2 linked regions of the Pelodiscus sinensis genome follow. Each later gene encodes a partner of the first gene's protein in a complex. Links are inferred from orthologs where the notes say so. Each region holds a gene or a part of one and is shown in the gene's direction. Other genes may lie near its edges.

Region 1 (10,206 bases):
CTTAAAAATCGCAGGCAGATTTCATTTTAAAAGCTCTTCTTACAAACTTAATGGCTGTGTCTACATTGGCACCCTTTTCCGGGAATAAGGGATCTTCCGGAAAAGGGTTTATTTTCCGCAAGATCCCGTCTAGACTGGCGCTTTTCTCCGGCAAAACCCCGAGCCGGAAAAAAGCAGCAACCATGTTCATGCAAATGCCGCGGGGGATATTTAAATCCCCCGTGGCATTTGCAATTCCGACTGGTCTCATTAGCATCCCTTTTCCGGAAAAGGGTGCCAATGTAGACACAGCCAATGTGTACATTTTGGGGTAGGTGAGTCTGAAAAGCCTGCTTTGCGATCCGTTTCGTGGTGCTTCCTGAGTGATAGCAATGTAAATTGTGTGGTTTTGAGTGTGTCTGCTTTTAGGCCCCAGTGTTAATTGATGAGCTAGTCTGTTCTGTGTTCCACAAGGCCATATCATTAGAAGAACGCAGAGGACATCGTGTCAAACAGCTCCTCCCAATGACACTCGAGCTGGAAATATCGTATGGTTAGACAATTAAGAGGAGTGACTTAGAGGTCCTGGAAGATATACTGGTGGGTTTGTCAGAACTCCATGGTTTCCCTTTCATTCCCTCACTTCCTCCCTGAGAACAAAGGGGGACCATAAAGTTTTACTTGATTCTCCTGGAGCACAAGACACCATCATAAATTTGCTTTCTTTTGAGGTTGCTTTTTGTTCAGTTACATCATTTTCTGCTCAATTTATCACAAAAGCTTGACATACACAAACAAATCCCAGCCCATTCAACAACTTCAGGCAGAAAACCAATGCCTGGCAGGATTTTAACAAAAAAGTGCTGCGAACATAAAACCCATTCAACTCCTGCCCAATGTCCCAGTCTGCATAAAATAGCACCCCCTCTTCTCCCCTTTGTGAATCGTTTATTCCAAAATAATTATACATACATTTCCTCTTTTCTAAAACGTCAGGGAGTTTCAGCATGAAAACCTAGACATGTGGTGGGTACGGGGGGGAGGGGAGAATTCCCTTCAGCCCCCAGATTTGGGGAACACTCTGCTGCTGTGCATAATGTAAACAGGAATCCCCATGACCAAACTTATTTATACACTTTCACGGTACCATTTGTGTCAGAGAAATCAATCATTTTCCCCTTTAACTTATGTAAAGTGGATTCTGGATCAGACACATCCCTTAGGGGTGGATCTATTCATGGAGATTCTCTCTGTCCTAGTAAGGCGGAGAGGATGGAAAAGGACAAAATGCAGGCAGGATCTGATCAGAAACAGTGACATGAAGAAGAGTCACATTCAATTACACCAGCAGACAGCTAAAAAGTGACACGTTTTTAATGTGCTTATAGACAAAGGCTAGAAATCTAAATAATAAGATGGGTGAACTAGAGTGCCTGGTATGGAATGATGGTGTTGATATGTAAACCAGAGGCCCCGAGAAGGCTGAGTGAAGGCTGCTCTATGGCCTGAGATAAGCGCAACTTAGTTTTTTAGCTCATGTGGTAGAAGAGGCTCATGGCTTTAGCCTCTAAGGATGCAGGTTCAATCCCACCCACCGACAGCTGTTGGTTTTACAGATATAATAGGTGGTGTCCCCCTGGGACCTGTACTGGGACCAGTCCTATTCACCTGTGCAGCTGCCTATTTAACATTGTTCAAGTACTTAAGGACCCCCCATGGGACCTGCCGTAGCCTGGGGAGGATGGCCTCTTCTTTGGCCCCAACCTAATCTGGTTTCCAGGCTGCCATGGCTTAGGCAGCCCAGCCCTGAACCGTGCCATAGTAGCTCGGCCCAGCCCTATCTGCGGCACCAGGATCTGCTGTGACCAGGGCAGCCCTTCCCCAGCTCAAACACATCCCTGAACTGGAACCTATGGGGAGAAGTGCCTTTCCCTTCTAGTGCAGGTGCTGCTGCGAGGAGTGAGAGCTGGGGGGAGTCTTCTCCATCTTCACAGTAGCCCTGGAGCACCCTCCTTCACCTTAACTCTGTTTGTCAGAGGCTGGGATGGGCAACAGGGGCAGGATCGCTTGATGATTCCCTGTTCTGTTCACTCCCTCTGGGGCACCTGGCATTGGCCACTGACGGTAGACAGGACACTGGGCTAGATGGGCCTTCGGTCTGAGCCAGTCTGGCCGTTCTTATGTTCTCGTCAATACTAAATGCTGTTTGTTTTATTGTGAAAAAGTCCAACTATAAATGTATGGATACCATGAAGTTTTTTTTTAAAAAAAAATCAGGACTCTCCATATATTGTCCTGATACAATAGGATAAAAATAGGATCCAATCCTGTTTATTATGTATTATTTATTATCTTTCAGGTACTTTGTGCCAACTGCTGTAAATCAGAATAACCTCAGTGAAGTTAATGGAGCTACAACACCCATTCATGTGGCCCTTACACATCGGCTGCGTCTAGATTGGCATGATTTTCCGGATATGCTTTTAACAGAAAAGTTTTCTGTTAAAAGCATTTTCAGAACAGAGTGTCTAGATTGGCAGGACGCTTTTCCACAAAAGCACTTTTTGCAGAAAAGCGTCCGTGCCAATCTAGACGCGCTTTTCCGCAAAAAAAGCCCTGATCGCCATTTTCTCGATCGGGGCTTTTTTGCGCAAAACAAATCTCACCTGTCTACACTGGCCCTTTTGCGCAAAAGCTTATTGTGCAAAATAGTATTTCCGCAAGAAGCACTGATTTCTTACAGTAGGAAGTCAGTGCTTTTGTGGAAATTCAAGCGGCCAGTGTAGACAGCTGGCAAGTTTTTCTGGAAAAGCAGCTGATTTTCCGGAAAAACTGGCCAGTCTAGACACAGCCATAGGAAACAGATCCCTGAAACTAACTTCTGTTCTCCAAACACGAAAGGGTTATGCTCTTCATCCAGACATTGCTAGTCACGCTGATGGTCTTCTCAGAATTGTGCTGGACTAAGTCCAAGACCATGGTCCTCAAAGTTGATTTGGTTGCACAAAGATTTTGTGGTCTAAGTAAACAATTAAAAATCAGCAAAGCAGCTGCTATGTGAGGTTGAGTTCCAGCCAGAAGAAAGAAGGAAAACAATGCTTGTGAACAAAAAGAGTCAGCATTGGTAAGAAAGATGGGTATAATGTTAAAAAAAGAATTAGAAGCCCAACAGAGTGAAGCCAGTTACAAAAGTATTTGAAAAATAATTATCTGTGTTTGCTTCATTGAGCCTTGTTCACCTTTTCCGACTGTACTGGTCATGCCTGCTTTACATGCTGTGAATCTGTTGGAACAGGGATCACCTATATGTTCTGTATCTGTACAGTGCCTAGCACAATCAGGCGCCTGCTTGTATTAGGGCCCTCTGGGAGCTACTGCTAAACAAATACAAAATCAGTAGTAAGTATTTTGAGGTTATCCTCATGTGCCTGGCAAAGGAGTCTTCCTATGACAGAGCCGTTTCCTTAACTTATTAAATAAAGTAATGTATATTTAGGTTGTATTTAAAGCTTGCAGAAATTACACCTTTATTAAGTACTGTACTAGCCTAAGGCCCTTAGCCCTATGTCACACTTATATATCCAAAACATGGCCTATGTGTTGCTTAAGACTGAAGGAAAAGGAGGGAGTAATACCCTATAAACTGTAGGGTGTTTGTGGGAGTGCTGTGCAGAAAGTGGGGGTTCTGGGGTGTTTTGCGGAAGGTTGGGTTATTGAGGGGTGCTGTGCAGAATGTGGGGTTCTGGGGTGTTTTGCGGAAGGTTGGGTTATTGAGGGGTGCTGTGCGGAATGTGGGGGGTCTGGGGTGTTTTGCAGAAGGTTGGGTTATTGAGGGGGTGCTGTGCGGAATGTGGGGGGTCTGGGGTGTTTTGCGGAAGGTTGGGTTATTGAGGGGGTGCTGTGCGGAATGTGGGGGGTCTGGGGTGTTTTGCGGAAGGTTGGGTTATTGAGGGGTGCTGTGCGGAATGTGGGGGGTCTGGGGTGTTTTGCGGAAGGTTGGGTTATTGAGGGGGTGCTGTGCGGAATGTGGGGGGTCTGTGGTGTTTTTCGGAAGGTTGGGTTATTGAGGGGTGCTGTGCGGAATGTGGGGGGTCTGGGGTGTTTTGCGGAAGGTTGGGTTATTGAGGGGTGCTGTGCGGAATGTGGGGGTCTGGGGTGTTTTGCGGAAGGTTGGGTTATTGAGGGGTGCTGTGCGGAATGTGGGGTTCTGGGGTGTTTTGCGGAAGGTTGGGTTATTGAGGGGGTGCTGTGCGGAATGTGGGGGTTTTGGGGTGTTTTGCGGAAGGTTGGGTTATTGAGGGGTGCTGTGCGGAATGTGGGGGGTCTGGGGTGTTTTGCGGAAGGTTGGGTTATTGAGGGGGTGCTGTGCGGAATGTGGGGGGTCTGTGGTGTTTTTCGGAAGGTTGGGTTATTGAGGGGTGCTGTGCGGAATGTGGGGGGTCTGGGGTGTTTTGCGGAAGGTTGGGTTATTGAGGGGGTGCTGTGCGGAATGTGGGGTCTGGGGTGTTTTGCGGAAGGTTGGGTTATTGAGGGGTGCCGTGCGGAATGTGGGGTTCTGGGGTGTTTTGCGGAAGGTTGGGTTATTGAGGGGTGCTGTGCGGAATGTGGGGGGTCTGGGGTGTTTTGCGGGAGGTTGGGTTATTGAGGGGGTGCTGTGCGGAATGTGGGGTTCTGGGGTGTTTTGCGGAAGGTTGGGTTATTGAGGGGTGCTGTGCGGAATGTGGGGTTCTGGGGTGTTTTGCGGAAGGTTGGGTTATTGAGGGGTGCTGTGCGGAATGTGGGGTTCTGGGGTGTTTTGCGGGAGGTTGGGTTATTGAGGGGTGCTGTGCGGAATGTGGGGTTCTGGGGTGTTTTGCGGAAGGTTGGGTTATTGAGGGGTGCTGTGCGGAATGTGGGGTTCTGGGGTGTTTTGCGGAAGGTTGGGTTATTGAGGGGTGCCGTGCGGAATGTGGGGGTTCTGGGGTGTTTTGCGGGAGGTTGGGTTATTGAGGGGTGCCGTGCGGAATGTGGGGTTCTGGGGTGTTTTGCGGAAGGTTGGGTTATTGAGGGGTGCTGTGCGGAATGTGGGGGTTCTGGGGTGTTTTGCGGAAGGTTGGGTTATTGAGGGGTGCTGTGAGGAATGTGGGGTTCTGGGGTGTTTTGCGGAAGGTTGGGTTATTGAGGGGTGCTGTGCGGAATGTGGGGTTCTGGGGTGTTTTGCGGAAGGTTGGGTTATTGAGGGGTGCTGTGCGGAATGTGGGGGCCTGGGGTGTTTTGCGGGAGGTTGGGTTATTGAGGGGGTGCTGTGCGGAATGTGGGGGTCTGGGGTGTTTTGCGGAAGGTTGGGTTATTGAGGGGTGCTGTGCGGAATGTGGGGGTCTGGGGTGTTTTGCGGAAGGTTGGGTTATTGAGGGGTGCTGTGCGGAATGTGGGGGGTCTGGGGTGTTTTGCGGGGTGCTGTGGGGCGTTTGCAGGGTTTGGGGTGTTCTGGAGGGGAGGTGTTTGGGGGTTCTGAGGGGATAGTCTGGGGCACCCTTTGGAGGGGGTCACCCACGACACGCCCACCCCCAGGCACTGGGCCAGCAGGCTGCGAGGAGGAGGCTCCGCTCCCCCAGCCGAAGCGCGGTTCCGAACGCGGCCGGCGCGGCTTGTCTCCCGCGGCGGCCCGTCCCCGCGGTGCATTGTGGGCCGCGGCAATATGGCCGCCTCCTTGGTGTGCGCCTGAGGGGAGTTTCATTCGCCGGCGCTGCGGGACGGGGCCCCTCCGCCGGGGGCCGGAGCCAGCGCGCGTGGGGGAGGAGCCGGGGGAGGGCGCGATGGGCCGAGCCCGGCTCCCGCCGCAGCAGCCGGGGAGCGAGCCCTGCCCGCGGGGCTAGAGGCCCGGGCGCCCCGAGTGCTCAGCGACCCCTCCGCGCTGCCCGGGCCGAGGAGACGCCGCTTGCCTGCGGGCGCCCCCTGCACGGAGCCGGGTCGGGCCCCCCCGCGCCTGGGACCCCTCCCCCTCCTGCCCCTGAGCCCCGCCCGGCAGAGGGACCCGCCCGCCCCGGCCTGTGCGGGGGTGGAGAGCGCGGAGCCCTTGCGGCCGGACCCCTCCCCCCCTCTCCCGATGGAGGCTGAGATGCTGCAGTCGCCTCTCCTGGGGGTCGGAGGGGAGGAGGAGGAGTCGGACCTGACGGACTGGAACTTGCCTCTGGCCTTCATGAAGAAGCGGCACTGCGAGAAGATCGAGGGCTCCAAGTCTCTGGCCCAGAGCTGGAGGATGAAGGACCGGGTAATGCCCCGGGGCGGGGGACTTCTGCGGGGGGAGGGGTAGGTGGCGGCTCTGGTTTTGATCTGCCCCATGTGGTCGGAGGCACCGCTAGAGTTTGTTTCTAGTAGTCAGGTTTGCCTGGGGCCCAGGCACTTGTTGCATCGCTACCGTGGAAGTGAACACACGAAGAAGTTAATAGTGACGGTTACCAATGTTCCCTCTCATCTTTTCCATCCATGTGCGGAATACATTGGGGTGCACACAGAGGCAGGTGTGAATGTGCACCACTAGTAGAAACCCAAAACCTAGTTGTGGGTGCTCTGCTGATCAGCCGGGTGGCAGTTGAGCCTCTCTTGAGTGGCGGCACAAACACACAACTTAAAAGGAAGACTGTTCGAGTTCCTAATTATATGCATTTTAAATAGCTACACTGAGTTTCTGCGAAATTGGTGCTCTTCTGAGAAAGTAGTGGCATTAGTGGTGTCTTAAAACAGACCTCACTGGTTCATGTTAGTGGCATGGGCAGTGGGTGCAATGAATGCAAGTATTATATTCTGTGAAGTTCTCCTTTGAGGTTTTTTTAGTCCTCCATTGGCATGTTGCATGGAGTATATGAGTGATGCATGCTTACCAGAGCAATGTCAGGCTCATGATGTTTTTGAGATGGAAGATGCCTATTTGATCCTTAAACATGTTAACCTACAAGGCAGGATATTGTTTCTTGACCGAATATCTACAGAACATTAAATGGATGCTGTATTATGTAGGGATGTAAAATCCTATTTAATTGGCTAACTGGTTAAGCATATTAACTAATTAAAGGGGAGCTGAGCAAAGGCAGGAGCCTGGCTGGAGCACCACCCTCCCATGCATAGCAGGCCCCCTGTGGGGCTGGGGCAGCCCATAGCAGGTGGGGAGCTGCTCCACTCCCCCACTGGTTAACTTTAACCTGTAAGCCACACCTGTTAAGGATGAGACTGGTTAAACCTTCACATTCCTAGTCCTAAGCTTTGCTACTAAAAAGCAAACTTTTCTCTCAGGCCCATGTAGTCCTCTGTGGCTTGATTTCTACAGTTAAACTTTTCTGGTTAGATATAAAAGTGGAATGGAAAAGAGTGTGCACTTGATCTTCTCTCAGAACTGGCTATAACTTAAAGATTTTCTTAGCTCTTGGGTATATACTGCCTTTGTGTGTCTGTGTATGGACACCTAGTATGTTTCCAAACCACAGTTACCTGATAAACAACTAACTTTCTCAATTCATTATTACTGTAATCTCGAAAAAGGTGTTTTAAGAAGCAATTCTATATTGGGCCTCTAGTGGTGGACTAGATGGCACGCAATAGGTAGTGTCCTACCAGATTTATGGTCCATTTTTGCCAATTTCACCATCCTAGGATTTTGAAAATAGTAAATTTCATGATTTCAGCTAATTAAATCTGAAATTTCATGGTGGTGTAATTGTACACCATTACAATTACAGAGCCAAAAAGAAATTGTGGGTCTGGGTGTCACGGGATTATTGTAAAGGGGGAGGTTACAGTACTACTACCCTTACTTCTGCATGATTGCTGGTCGCAGTGCTGCCTTCAGAGCTGTGAAGCTGAAGAGTGGCAGCTGCTTGACTGGAATCCAGTTCTGAAGGCAGAGCTGCTACCAGCAGTACTGCAGAAATAGGGATGGTTTGCTGTGGTATTGCCACCCTTATTTCTGAGCTGCTGTCTACAGTCAGCAGCTGCCACTTTCTAGCGGCCCAGCTCTGAAGGCAGCAGCACAAAACACCCTTACTTCTGCGCTGCTGCTTTTATTTTTGGTTTTCTTGTTGTTACCACAAATAATTATGATGTTAGAATGTTCCATAATTGTGATAGAATTCTTATTTAATAACCACCTCCTCCGCACATCTTCCCCAAATTTCCACAGACACTTCAAATCTCTGGGAATGTTGAGATGACTTATTATTGACAATGTTAATTACAGTAGGGTTTTAGGAACACCAACATTAGGCCCCCATCTGTACAGTGTAGTACAGTGTCTGCTCTGAAGAATTTATAGTCTAAATAGGCAAGATAGACAAAGGGTAGTGGAAAAGGATCTAATGTACAAATAGAATGGACAAAATGATGACAGCAGTCGTACTAGTTCCACAGTATTTTTGGAGGGGAAGGGTTTTAGAGTACTGGGTACATGGGGAGGGTGCATGGGATAAGGAGGAGAGGAAGGGGTAAGCATGGAGTGAAGCTGAGGTAAAGAAACTGGGTAGAAGCTTGGAGCAAACATTCAACCAGCACAGATGAGAACAAGTCCAATCAGAGCTGTAGAAAATATCCTCTGATCCTGCTTAAACAGCTTCTGTGTATGCTTTGCCTGATTTCATTTCTGACTGGCTCCTCCCTATAGTTTTTTTACCCGAAGGGCGGATGGTGGGAGAGGAGGCGCTCTCTGGGTTCCATTGTCCCTACATAGTTCTGGGTCCAGGGGCATTGTGTGTGTAGGACTGTAGCCCCATTTTATTTCCTGGATCTCTGGTGCAACTTCAGCTGGATCATGAGATATTGAAGGTTTCAATTTACATAAGAGACATAGAAATGTCCTTTCTCTGTTAGGGATGTTAGATATTGTTTAATTTAATAATCGCGTAACCACACAAAATCTTAGCTGTTACACTATCATTCAATGGTCCTTGGGGTCAGGGCTGGTAGCCAATTCACTCCTGGTCCCACTTCCAGGAACCCCCTGCGGACAGGGGCTGTTCCGGCATCCTGTCTGCCTTCCCCCTGTGCTGTTGCCTTTATGCTGGCTCCCCACCCCTGCACTGGCTCCCTCACCCCCGCCCTGCCTCCTTCCCCCCCCCCCCCATGCTGCTTCTGTGGGAGGCAGCAAGGGGGGGGGGGAAGGGCAGGTGGCTCCACAGAGCTGGCACGTGTGGATCTTAAAAGCCAGTTCTCCATGAGCACTGGCTCCCACCTCTCCCTCCTCCCCTTGCTGCCTCAATCTAAATTCCCTCTAAGCTGCACAGCTTTCTATTATATCCCATGCTCTGCCTGTAGTGTGGAAAGGCACCTCTTCCTAAGCCCCAGAGCTGCTTTGGCCGGGGCGGCGGGAGAGGGGGGAAGAGGCACCTCTACTTGCTGGCTCCTGCATAGAACTGCCATGGCTGGGGGGAGAGATGCCTCTCCACTGGCCCTGAGTAGCTGCAATGAGAGATGACTGGGAGTTCTCTCTTCCTGGGGCAGCCTTCTCCCCTAAGGAGCCTGTGTCCCTAGTGAACGCTCACCCCACATCCCAACCCTCCTGCACTCCAGACTCCTTATTCCTGTCCCCACCTAAGAGCCTGTACCTTTACCCAGAGCTGTCAGCCTGCTGCACTCTAACCCTGTTCCCCAACCTAGAACACTCTCCCACACCCCAATCCTTTGGCCCCACCTCTGCCACACACTGTCCATGTGCAGAATTACTTTTGTTATGAGATGCATCATCTCCATATTAGTGCACATAATGAAAATCATTCTGCACACGGATATAAAACTAGAGGAATGTTGGTCTCCGTATGGTTCTGTAGATGGTTGTGGAATTGTAATCTAATCTTGTCTTTGGTGGGTTCTACAGGTCATTGTGCAGCGGATCCTCACGTTTGTGCTACCTGTAGTTTCAGTTGGATATAGTGTTCTTTATTTTCTATCCTTAACTGCTGTGTGGTGTTACTGTGCCCTATTAAGAACTTCCTGTGTTTCATCTTGGAAGTGACTGTGCTTCAGTAATTTTCTCTTTGTCTCTCTCTAGTATAACTTGTACTGTTGGTAAAATGCATAAAGTGCTTTGGGGTGGAAGATGTTATAAGAATACAGGCTTCTGTGCTTGCATGCTTCTGTTTATCTTTCACTTTTATATGAAAAACCTAATTGGGAAGTAAAATGTCCCAGTGCAACTATCCAAGTTTAAAAAAAAAACACCTGTTAAAAGCTGCTCCAAGGATATGTCGGTGTTGTTGAAATCCT
Region 2 (9,748 bases), on another chromosome or scaffold:
TGGACCTTTGGACTGGCCTGCACTTGAAAGTTTCCCTGGTAGAGTTAGTTGACTTGGATAGAGTTAGTCGACTTTTTAACAAATTAGTTATACCGCAAAATAACCAAGAACGGACACAGAAATAGCAATAAACAGGTGACTTGTACTAGTCTAATTATTCCATTTCTTGCACATAACTACTTTCATAAGTATAAATATGCCAACACAACTGCCTGCACGGGAGTGGGTTGTACTGCATTAGCTGTACTGAGTTAAATGAAGCAACACAATTTCATAGTGTAGGTAGGTAGAAGGGAAGGAAGGAAGGAAGGAGAGAGGGAGAAGGAAGGAAGGAACTTTTCAGTGTGCGTATTGTAGTCTGTTAGTAAAAGCCTTTTACAGCTCTGGGCCAGTGTCTGCTGTCATGTTTGTCCCTTTAAACGGTCTCTGTCAGGCCAAAAATGCAAAGTCGTTTCCAAGGGTGACAGACAGTAGCTGACACCTTTCCCCTTCCGTAGGTTAGCCTATCATTTGGGCATCCTCATCTCCATACGTCCTAGCGGCAGTTGGACCCCACAGCTGCCATGCAGAACGCCAGCCGGGAGAGTTGTAAGTGGTGGCCAGGCCAGCTGTGTGGCATCGATTTAACGAATCACCTCGTTTGCATGAATACAAACATGTGGCCAACCTTTCATCAGCTTGCTAAAGTGCCAGCAGGCGGGCAGGGGGCCTGCAGATGGACCGGCCCCTTGGGGAGAAGGGCTGAGCTGGAATCGGAGTGGCAGGGTGGTCCTGCAGATCGTGGCTGCCAAATGACTCACCACAAGAGGGGTGACTTTGCTCCAACGCACAAACACTGTTCATCTTAGTCACCTGGGGGCGCCAAGAAAGCTTTAATCCTAGACATACCCGGACACCAAGCAAAACTGCAGACTTACACACGGCTGCTCATCACATCTTCTGGGACTTGTGTGTGCACAGCCATTCACGGTAAGGGACCAAACTCAATAACAACACAGTTACACCCAAAACACACCTGTATGCGCACCCACACACACATACCCATGTGTCCGTGCATGCTCACACACCTATATACACTGACATGCCTGCATGCTAACATCCAGGCATATACACCTATCTCAAACACACACAAAACAAAAAACAACAAGGAGTCCTGTGGCACCTTAGGCTACATCTATGTACTTAAAAACTGGAGCATGTCCCCTCTCCATCTTCTCTTTTCCAGAGTAAACAAACCCAATTTTTTCAGTCTTCCCTCACAGATCAAGTTTTCTAAATAACCTTTTAATCCTTTTTGGTCGCTCATCTCTGGACTTTCTCCAATTTGTCCACATCTTTGCAGAAAGGTGGTACCCAGAACTGGACACCAGTCCTACTGAGGCCTAATCATCGCAGGATAAAGCAGAGGAATGACTTCTCATGTCTTGCTCGCAACACTCCTGCCAACGCATCCCAAAATGGTGTGAGCTTTTTTGCAACAGTGTTGCACCATTCACTCGTATTTAGCTTGTGATCTGCTGTGACACTGCCCTCTCCTCCCCCCCCCCCCCCCCCCATCTTTCTGCAGGACCCTAGACAGTCATTTCCCATTTTGTATGTGTGCAACTGATTGTCCCTTCCTAAGTGGAGCACTTTGCATTAGTCCTCGTTGAATTTCATCCTATTGACCTCAGATCACTTCTCCAGTTTGTCCAGATCATTTTGAGTTTTGACCCTATCCTCCAGAGCACTTACAACCCCACGTCTGCATCACAGTGTCATTAAGCCATGCTCAGCATTTATCTTGAAACTAGGAACCACTAGGTCAGTAACAGATCTGTGGGGCATCAATTCTTGGAATCGAATGTGGGTCTGACCCAGATCCAATCTGAAGTGAGTGTTCAGAGTTGTGGGATCCCTGCTTTTGATTCAGAGATTCCAAAGGGATTGTTGTAAGCAGCTAGCCAGCCAAAGAACGTCTCTGAACTAATTCCTAGAGTAGATCATAGAAAAATATTGGACCGCGATATAAATATTGTAGTGATGGAGAATTTGCCAAGACCCTGGTTAAAATTGTTCCAATGGTTAACTGCTTTCACCATTACACCTGATTTCCAGTCTGAATTAGTCTTGCTTCAGCCTCCAGCCCTTGGATCATGTAATATCTTTCACTGCTAGACTGAAGAGCCCCTTGTTAAATATTTGTTCTCTGTATAGGTATTTCTAGATTGTAATAAAGTTACCCTTTAACCTTCCCATTCTTAAAACTAAATATGTCTATCACTACACAATATCAAGAGTAGCTCTGTTACTTTCTACCAAAACAACAAGGAATCTGGTGACACTTGCAGAAAAACGAATTTTATTATGGCATACGCTTTCATGAAAGCATATACCATAATAACCCTGTTAGTTTTTAAGGTGCCACTGGATTGATTTTCACTACAAGGCATGCTTTCTCGTCCTTTCATGGTTCCCCTGGCTAGTCTCTGAACCCTCTCCAATGCAGCCACATCTGTGCTGAACTATGGGAACCAGAACTGGACACAGTATTGCAGCCGCCGTCCCACCCGCGCCAAATACAGAGGTAAAATACCCTCCTACAGTGTGGTGGTGAGTACTGTATGAAATGCAGAGGCAGAGAGAGAGAAAGACTGGCGCTCTCTCTGGTACTGCCTTTTGTGTGAGTCGCGGCATTTGTTTGACTCCATACGATGCTGATATTGAATCAGGAATTCCGGAAAGGGCCATTTGTGGTGCTTTGTGTCAGCCTCTCTCTCCCGTCACCTCGACAGGTGAGCTTTCAGCGGGAATGCAGGTTCACGCGTTTGTGACACTCATCACCCGCCAAGCGCCCAGGGGAGTAGGCTGTGAATTCTATCACTGCACAAATGTCTTGAGCGGTGCTGAAGGCCTCCCAGGAGGACCACCCTTGCTGTGGCTGCCTTCTCGGGAGGGACGCAGGGTGTGAAGTGCCCCGCTGCAGGAGGAAGCTGGGTAGCAGGAGTGGGGGCACGGTTAGAGGGGAAATGGTCCCAACGCGCTCATCACATGGGAGCACACTGTGGGACAGGCGGAGAACCTCTGTCGCAGAAATCCTTTCTCAGCCCCCTACCACCAAACCAGCCCACGGCCATGGCAATGCCTGGGAGGCTGCTCCCAAACCTGCCGTGAGGGCGAGGGGCTGGACTCGATGACCTCTCGAGGTCCCTTCCCGTCCTATGATTCTATGATTCATATTGCCCAAAGGTATTTCCTTCCTTGCCCTGCTTTGTCTGCCGGGACTACAAAGCCCCTGGGCCGGACTGGGCGTGCAGAGTAGCAGCAGGCTGCCACGCGTCCTACTGGCACGGGGCGAGGGCTAGTGGGGGCAGGGGGACGAGTGATTAGGGAAGGGTGATCTGCGGGGGGGAGAATGGGCAGGGGAGGGGAGGGGAGACATGGCGCTTGGGGGGAGGCTGGGGCAGCAAGAGGAGCCGGGGCAGGGGAGAGGAGCAGGCTGACGGGCAGGGGGATGGGGAGGGGACGGACTGGCAGCAAGGGGAGGAAGGGGGATGGGAAGGGGAGGGGCTGGGAGGAGAGGGCGGGGCTGGAGGAGGAGGGAGGGACAGCTGGAGGAGAGGGCGGGGCTGGAGGAGGAGGGGGGGCAGTTGGAGGAGAGGGCGGGGCTGAGGAGCAGCCAGTGGGATGGGAAGGGGAGGGGCTGGGAGGAGAGGGCGGGGCTGGAGGAGGAGGGAGGGGCAGTTGGAGGAGAGGGCGGGGCTGGAGGAGGAGGGGGGGCAGTTGGAGGAGAGGGCGGGGCTGAGGAGCAGCCAGTGGGATGGGAAGGGGCGGGGCTGGAGGAGGAGGGAGGGGCAGTTGGAGGAGAGGGCGGGGCTGAGGAGCAGCCAGTGGGATGGGAAGGGGCGGGGCTGGAGGAGGAGGGAGGGGCAGTTGGAGGAGAGGGCGGGGCTGAGGAGTAGCCAGTGGGATGGGAAGGGGCGGGGCTGGAGGAGGAGGGAGGGGCAGTTGGAGGAGGGGCGGGGCTGAGGAGCAGCCAGTGGGATGGGAAGGGGCGGGGCTGGAGGAGGAGGGAGGGGCAGTTGGAGGAGGGGCGGGGCTGAGGAGCAGCCAGTGGGATGGGAAGGGGCGGGGCTGGAGGAGGAGGGAGGGGCAGTTGGAGGAGGGGCGGGGCTGAGGAGCAGCCAGTGGGATGGGAAGGGGCGGGGCTGGAGGAGGAGGGAGGGGCAGTTGGAGGAGAGGGCGGGGCTGAGGAGCAGCCAGTGGGATGGGAAGGGGCGGGGCTGGAGGAGGAGGGAGGGGCAGTTGGAGGAGGGGCGGGGCTGAGGAGTAGCCAGTGGGATGGGAAGGGGCGGGGCTGGAGGAGGAGGGAGGGGCAGTTGGAGGAGGGGCGGGGCTGAGGAGTAGCCAGTGGGATGGGAAGGGGCGGGGCTGGAGGAGGAGGGAGGGGCAGTTGGAGGAGAGGGCGGGGCTGAGGAGCAGCCAGTGGGATGGGAAGGGGCGGGGCTGGAGGAGGAGGGAGGGGCAGTTGGAGGAGGGGCGGGGCTGAGGAGCAGCCAGTGGGATGGGAAGGGGCGGGGCTGGAGGAGGAGGGAGGGGCAGTTGGAGGAGGGGCGGGGCTGAGGAGTAGCCAGTGGCAGGGGAAGGGGCGGGGCTGGAGGAGGAGGGAGGGGCAGTTGGAGGAGAGGGCGGGGCTGAGGAGTAGCCAGTGGCAGGGGAAGGGGCGGGGCTGGAGGAGGAGGGAGGGGCAGTTGGAGGAGGGGCGGGGCTGAGGAGTAGCCAGTGGCAGGGGAAGGGGCGGGGCTGGAGGAGGAGGGAGGGGCAGTTGGAGGAGGGGCGGGGCTGAGGAGTAGCCAGTGGGATGGGAAGGGGCGGGGCTGGAGGAGGAGGGAGGGGCAGTTGGAGGAGGGGCGGGGCTGAGGAGCAGCCAGTGGGATGGGAAGGGGCGGGGCTGGAGGAGGAGGGAGGGGCAGTTGGAGGAGGGGCGGGGCTGAGGAGTAGCCAGTGGGATAGGAAGGGGCGGGGCTGGAGGAGGAGGGAGGGGCAGTTGGAGGAGGGGCGGGGCTGAGGAGTAGCCAGTGGCAGGGGAAGGGGAGGGGCCTCAGGCGCCGCCGTTGCCGTGGTGCCGTGCGCGGGGCGGAAGGGGCGTGGCCGCCGGCTGCTTCCGGGCGGGCGCGGGCCGGGGCAGGGGGCGCGCGGCGCTCGGGCAGCCCCAGTCGCCATGTCCGGGAGCTGCCGCCAGGGCCACACGCCGAGCCGGGCCATCCCCGCCAAGCGCCTCAGCCTGCCCGACGGGGCCGCGCTGCCGCCCGGCCACTACAGCACCACGCCGGGGGGCACCGTGTTCGGCACCACGCCGGGCGGTGAGTGGGGCGGGGCCCCCCGGGCGGGACCTCCCCCCCCCCCCCCCCCGCGGAGCCGTGAGCGGAGCGCGAGGGGCCGGACGGGGCTGGGGGTTGGGAACGCGCCGCTGCTGGAACTTGCCCCGCTGCATGTTTGGGGGGGCGCCCAGGGGGCCCGTTTAGAGCCCCCCCCCCCGCCTGCCCGCCGCTGCCTCGTGTGCACCCACTTCCCCAGCCCGTAGGGCGCTCGGCAGGGAGGCGGTGTCGCGGGGCGGGTGAGGGAGGGAGGGAGGGAGCACTGTGCAGAGCTTGGGGACAAAGGGGGCCCGACGCAGGGATAGGGGGCAATAGTTTGGGGGTCCCGAGACTGGGGCGCTCGTAGGTGCCAGAGGGAAACAGGCGGGGCTGTGCCCACGGGGGTTAGCACCAAACACTGGTTCACCCAGGACACCTGTTTCCCTAAGTCCAGCCCTGAATTGAATATATTCAAAGTTCTGTCAAATGTACAATGTAAATAAGTGGGTAGGAGGTTTTTTTTCACTAATATTACATGTCAAGTGACCTTAGGAGGTGCATGTAACAATAGTAGTTTTTTTAAAAAAAGAAAAAAAAAGACAGAAGTATGAAGATTAAATGGGTGTGTTTAAAAACAACAACAACAGTTGGGCTAGCCTGAGAGAGTCTTGGCACAGAAACTGAAGGTCTTAGTTTCAGTTGTGCTAGGTATCCATTTTGTGCTCTGAGAGCGCAAGCAGTAGGAATTCTTAAACATTAGGCACCTCTTGCAACAATTGTCACAAGTTTAGGAGAATTGGGATCAACTGATTATTTTCCAATACATGTTCTGCAGTATATTTGTTAGGGATGCTAAGTATCGGTTAATCGAATAGTCGAGTCACCTCATGAATTCTTATCCGTTAGTTGACTATTCTCTAGTCCCCGGGGGTGGGGCCGGCAGCCACTGTATTAGAGGCAGAAGCGTGGGGTACCAGGAGGGAGCTGGTCTATGAGGGGAGCCAGTTTAAAAACCAGCTCCCCTCACAGACTGGCTGCCTGTTACCCTGTGCAGCTGCCTCTGATAAAGAGGACGTTTCTCAAAATATCTAATCACTAGTAATAGCCTTTATTTTCAAGAATCCTGTTTAGTTTCTCAGTGATTTGGATAATCCAGAGAATGAATATTTTAATGTGTGCTTGTTTTTAAGATTTGAAAAACTAGGGTGAGTTTAAAAGCTCCATATCGCACTTCAGTTCTGCTTTTATCTGTTAACTTACATTTTATTGCTGTTAGTACTTACCATATGTTTATGTTCCCATGGCTATTCTTAGAATGATTAACAATGGAGTTTTAATCTCTCTTTCCCAAGACTACTGTCAATAGACTCTAAAATAAAATTCCTTCAAATCTCCCTTTAAAAAATTTGAATTAAGCAAATACTAACAGTTCTTAACACGGATCAGCCACACAGATCTTTCCTGTGCTGATCCATAAACCAAATAATTATTATGAAAAGGCAATTGCACTTCACTGTTCAGTAAGCTTTCAGGAGCAGAGACAGTTCTCAGGTGCATTCCTATGTTAAACAAATGCTTGTTCGTTTGAAAGGTTTAGGTGTAAAAACCTTTAGCAAAATGTTACTGTTTATTAACACGTGTACAGTGAAGCATTGTAAACAATACATCAGGTTGCACTTCAGAATAAAGGAGCAAATGTAATAGGGCATGGAACACCCATTTCTAATTTTAAAGAGCCAAATATTATACTCTTTAATCTCCCAAACAGTTCCATTGATTTCAGTGGAACTGTGTGGGGAATACAGGATTTAGTGCCAAAATCAGAAATCTGCAGTAACCGGTTCAGCCATTGGTGCAAATTATCACGGTTCCATTGGTGTATTAGAGGCCTGATCTACAGACCTAAACTTTAGGTTGACCTAGCTGAGGGACATAGTTAAGCCAACCTAAGCACTGGTAGAGACACTGTTAGATTGAAGGCAGAATCTTTAATTGGGGTACTGTCTTCACGATAGTAACATAGCTGCAGCTGTGTCTGTAGCACAGACATATCCCAAGTCTAGTGCTGAGGAAGTTTGGAAGCACAAATGGCTTTCAGAAAGCATTGTCCTGTAATTTAAAAGTGGTTTGCCTAATTTCGGTAAGTTCAAAGCCAGCTCAATATATGTTTTCTTCCTTTACCTTGAGTGAAAATGAGTTATGGGGTGATACTGGAATGTGATTTCTCAGAGAACATGAGAGAGCTAGACCTGAAATAGTCATTTTAGTCTCTTGTCAGTACTATTGCAGTGAGCTTATAAGGTTTTGAATGATTTATTAAAGACCACTGATTAGGATGCTCTTCACAGCTCCAAGCTTCTGCAGGCTCTGTAATAGGCTTTCTGCAATAGGCTAATCTTCACACTGCAGAAAGAAAGGGAAACAGTTTGGTTTTTCAATCACTGCACACATGCGAGGCAGCTCTTCTTTGCTGCTTGCTCCCCAGTTCTGACTGTAGGATGGCTCCACTAAGACAGAGGAGCTCTACCTGGATTCACTCGTCCTTAGGTGACCCTGAGAGGCACCACTGGCATCCCTCACCTCCACTGTAGACTGCTGTTGTCCGTGAGGAGCTCAGAGCGGATGGTTTTGAGCATCCCAGTTTGGTTGCTGGCAGAGGGATTTGCCAGTATGAAGAATGTTCCTGCAGTGTACGGTGCCTGTCCCCTTCCACCCATTGCTAATGGACTTTGGGTTGGCAAGACCTCGCTGTGCCGGGGTGCTTCCAGCTCAGTGTACTTACACTATGCGAACGGTTGTGGCCCGGAGGGGCTTGGTTACCTCTTCCATCTTGGCCGGGAGAAGTTGAGAGAATAAAGTACGCTTGGCCGTGCGGTGAGACTGCTGAATGGCCCCTAATATGGACCAAAGGCAGCAACTGAAATGAGGAATGAGACTCTGATGAGTTTGGCAGCTGGGGTTCCCCTGCAGGCTGTCCCTGTAAGGGCCTGAGCCTGCGTTCCTTGTGTGTCTGGGCTGCACAGGGACCAGACAGTGAACCGGTTAGAGCCACTGGGCTTTGGAAGACAGAAACTGCTGAGCCAGTATCTTGTTAGCACTTGCTAGGATTTTGTAACTTGCGCATCGCTTCCAAGCATTGTCAGGGTGCCCTTAAGAAGGGAGCAGTGGGTGAGGATGCGATTTTTTTTGTTCCTCTTGTCTTCCAAGACCTTTGATCAAAGTATCACAGCTTCCTACTTCCAATGAACTTAGTTTGATGGGAACCCTAACAAGGACCAGATGCCTGTCCTCCAATTACACAGTGCAGGGACATGCTCAGATACAGCGCTGGGGGCAATACAAACCCTCACAGAGAGCAAGATTGACCAGAAGCTTATAGAAGAGAACTTCTGCCAGTCAGAACCCCTCCCCCATGCATGGCTGGAGCTCTGTTGGACAGGAGGGGAAAGCCACGAATCAGCTGTCCTGGGGCAGGGAGTAAAGATTGTTTTGCAGAAGCTGATGCGGGGTGTTTCATCAAATGGTTCTTATAATATGGAGAATTGAAATTAAGATTTTTAATGGATCGGTTTTGTGTTTCTCCTGATGGAAGGGGTCCTATGTATGAATTCTGCACGTCCGTGCATCCCCTTCTAAGACAACTGTTATAATAAATCAAAGCATGGAATACAAGTTATGTAGTTTGCTAAGCAATAGCTCGAGGCATGTGACTGTGTGAATGAATGTAAGCCAGGAATGTACAGTTCTTCCAAGTCTGTTATGAAATGTACTCATAATACCTAGTATGCTAGCTGAGTTCTAGGAACCCTGTCCTTATTCTGTACGTCTTCCAGCTACCAAAGCCTATAACTGTGGGCTAGGGTTGTTTCTTTACCCAAATCCTGATTAACTGCACTTGTCCTGGAGCATAGATCAGAATTGGAGATGTTGCTAGTTAAAGTCCACTGCCTTGATCTGCAGAAACTTATCACAATTATCTTCAATTTTGAAAGGTTCCAATGTCTTGGAAATTATGCTAATGAGTTTCCTCAACATTTAATATCTAATTACACGACTTTACAGACAGGCTATGGAACATGAATATACCTAACATTCCAGGAGGGAGATTATCTCTGATTTCTTGTATACATGCCTACCACCAGCAAAGAACATGGGAGCAAACGGGGATGGGGGGGAGGCAGCATTCCTTGATGCTATTTGGTTGGATGGGGGTAGTGTATTAAATGTCCAATCCTGAAATGAGATGTTGCAGCCCTCCCCTTGGAAAGCTGTTTTGAATCGTTTCTATATTATGGATGTTGTCTCTTTGGAGAGAGCTTTTTACTCTGGTTTGGTATTTTTCCAATATCAGATGCCTGGGCAGGGAATGGGCTGCTCAGCCTACCTACAGTGTTCCTTTCTAATCCCTGCAG

The links. The genes of interacting proteins can lie anywhere in the genome.
Region 2: the proteins of RPTOR (region 1) and EIF4EBP1 are in contact, whole or in part, in a cryo-EM structure (PDB 6BCX), measured with the Homo sapiens proteins. The link is inferred for Pelodiscus sinensis from reciprocal best matches to the Homo sapiens genes RPTOR and EIF4EBP1. Residues at the interface, in NP_065812.1 of Homo sapiens: Arg54, Arg305, Thr317, Asp321, Phe337, Arg338, Leu341, Ala344, Arg348, Leu437, Gln438, Leu440, Leu441, Ser442, Gln443, Arg446, Tyr475, Lys478, Leu479, Gln481; in NP_004086.1 of Homo sapiens: Glu111, Ser112, Gln113, Phe114, Glu115, Met116, Asp117, Ile118.

Annotation. Positions count from the first base shown.
Region 1 is NC_134730.1:28,323,922-28,334,127, reverse strand, and holds the start of RPTOR (regulatory-associated protein of mTOR), read left to right. Parts: upstream 1-5,634; 5' UTR 5,635-6,064; coding exon 6,065-6,229; intron 6,230-10,206. UniProt on the Homo sapiens protein: Component of the mechanistic target of rapamycin complex 1 (mTORC1), an evolutionarily conserved central nutrient sensor that stimulates anabolic reactions and macromolecule biosynthesis to promote cellular biomass generation and growth.
Region 2 is NC_134738.1:15,247,075-15,256,822, forward strand, and holds the start of EIF4EBP1 (eukaryotic translation initiation factor 4E-binding protein 1), read left to right. Parts: upstream 1-5,084; 5' UTR 5,085-5,200; coding exon 5,201-5,342; intron 5,343-9,748. UniProt on the Homo sapiens protein: Repressor of translation initiation that regulates EIF4E activity by preventing its assembly into the eIF4F complex: hypophosphorylated form competes with EIF4G1/EIF4G3 and strongly binds to EIF4E, leading to repress translation.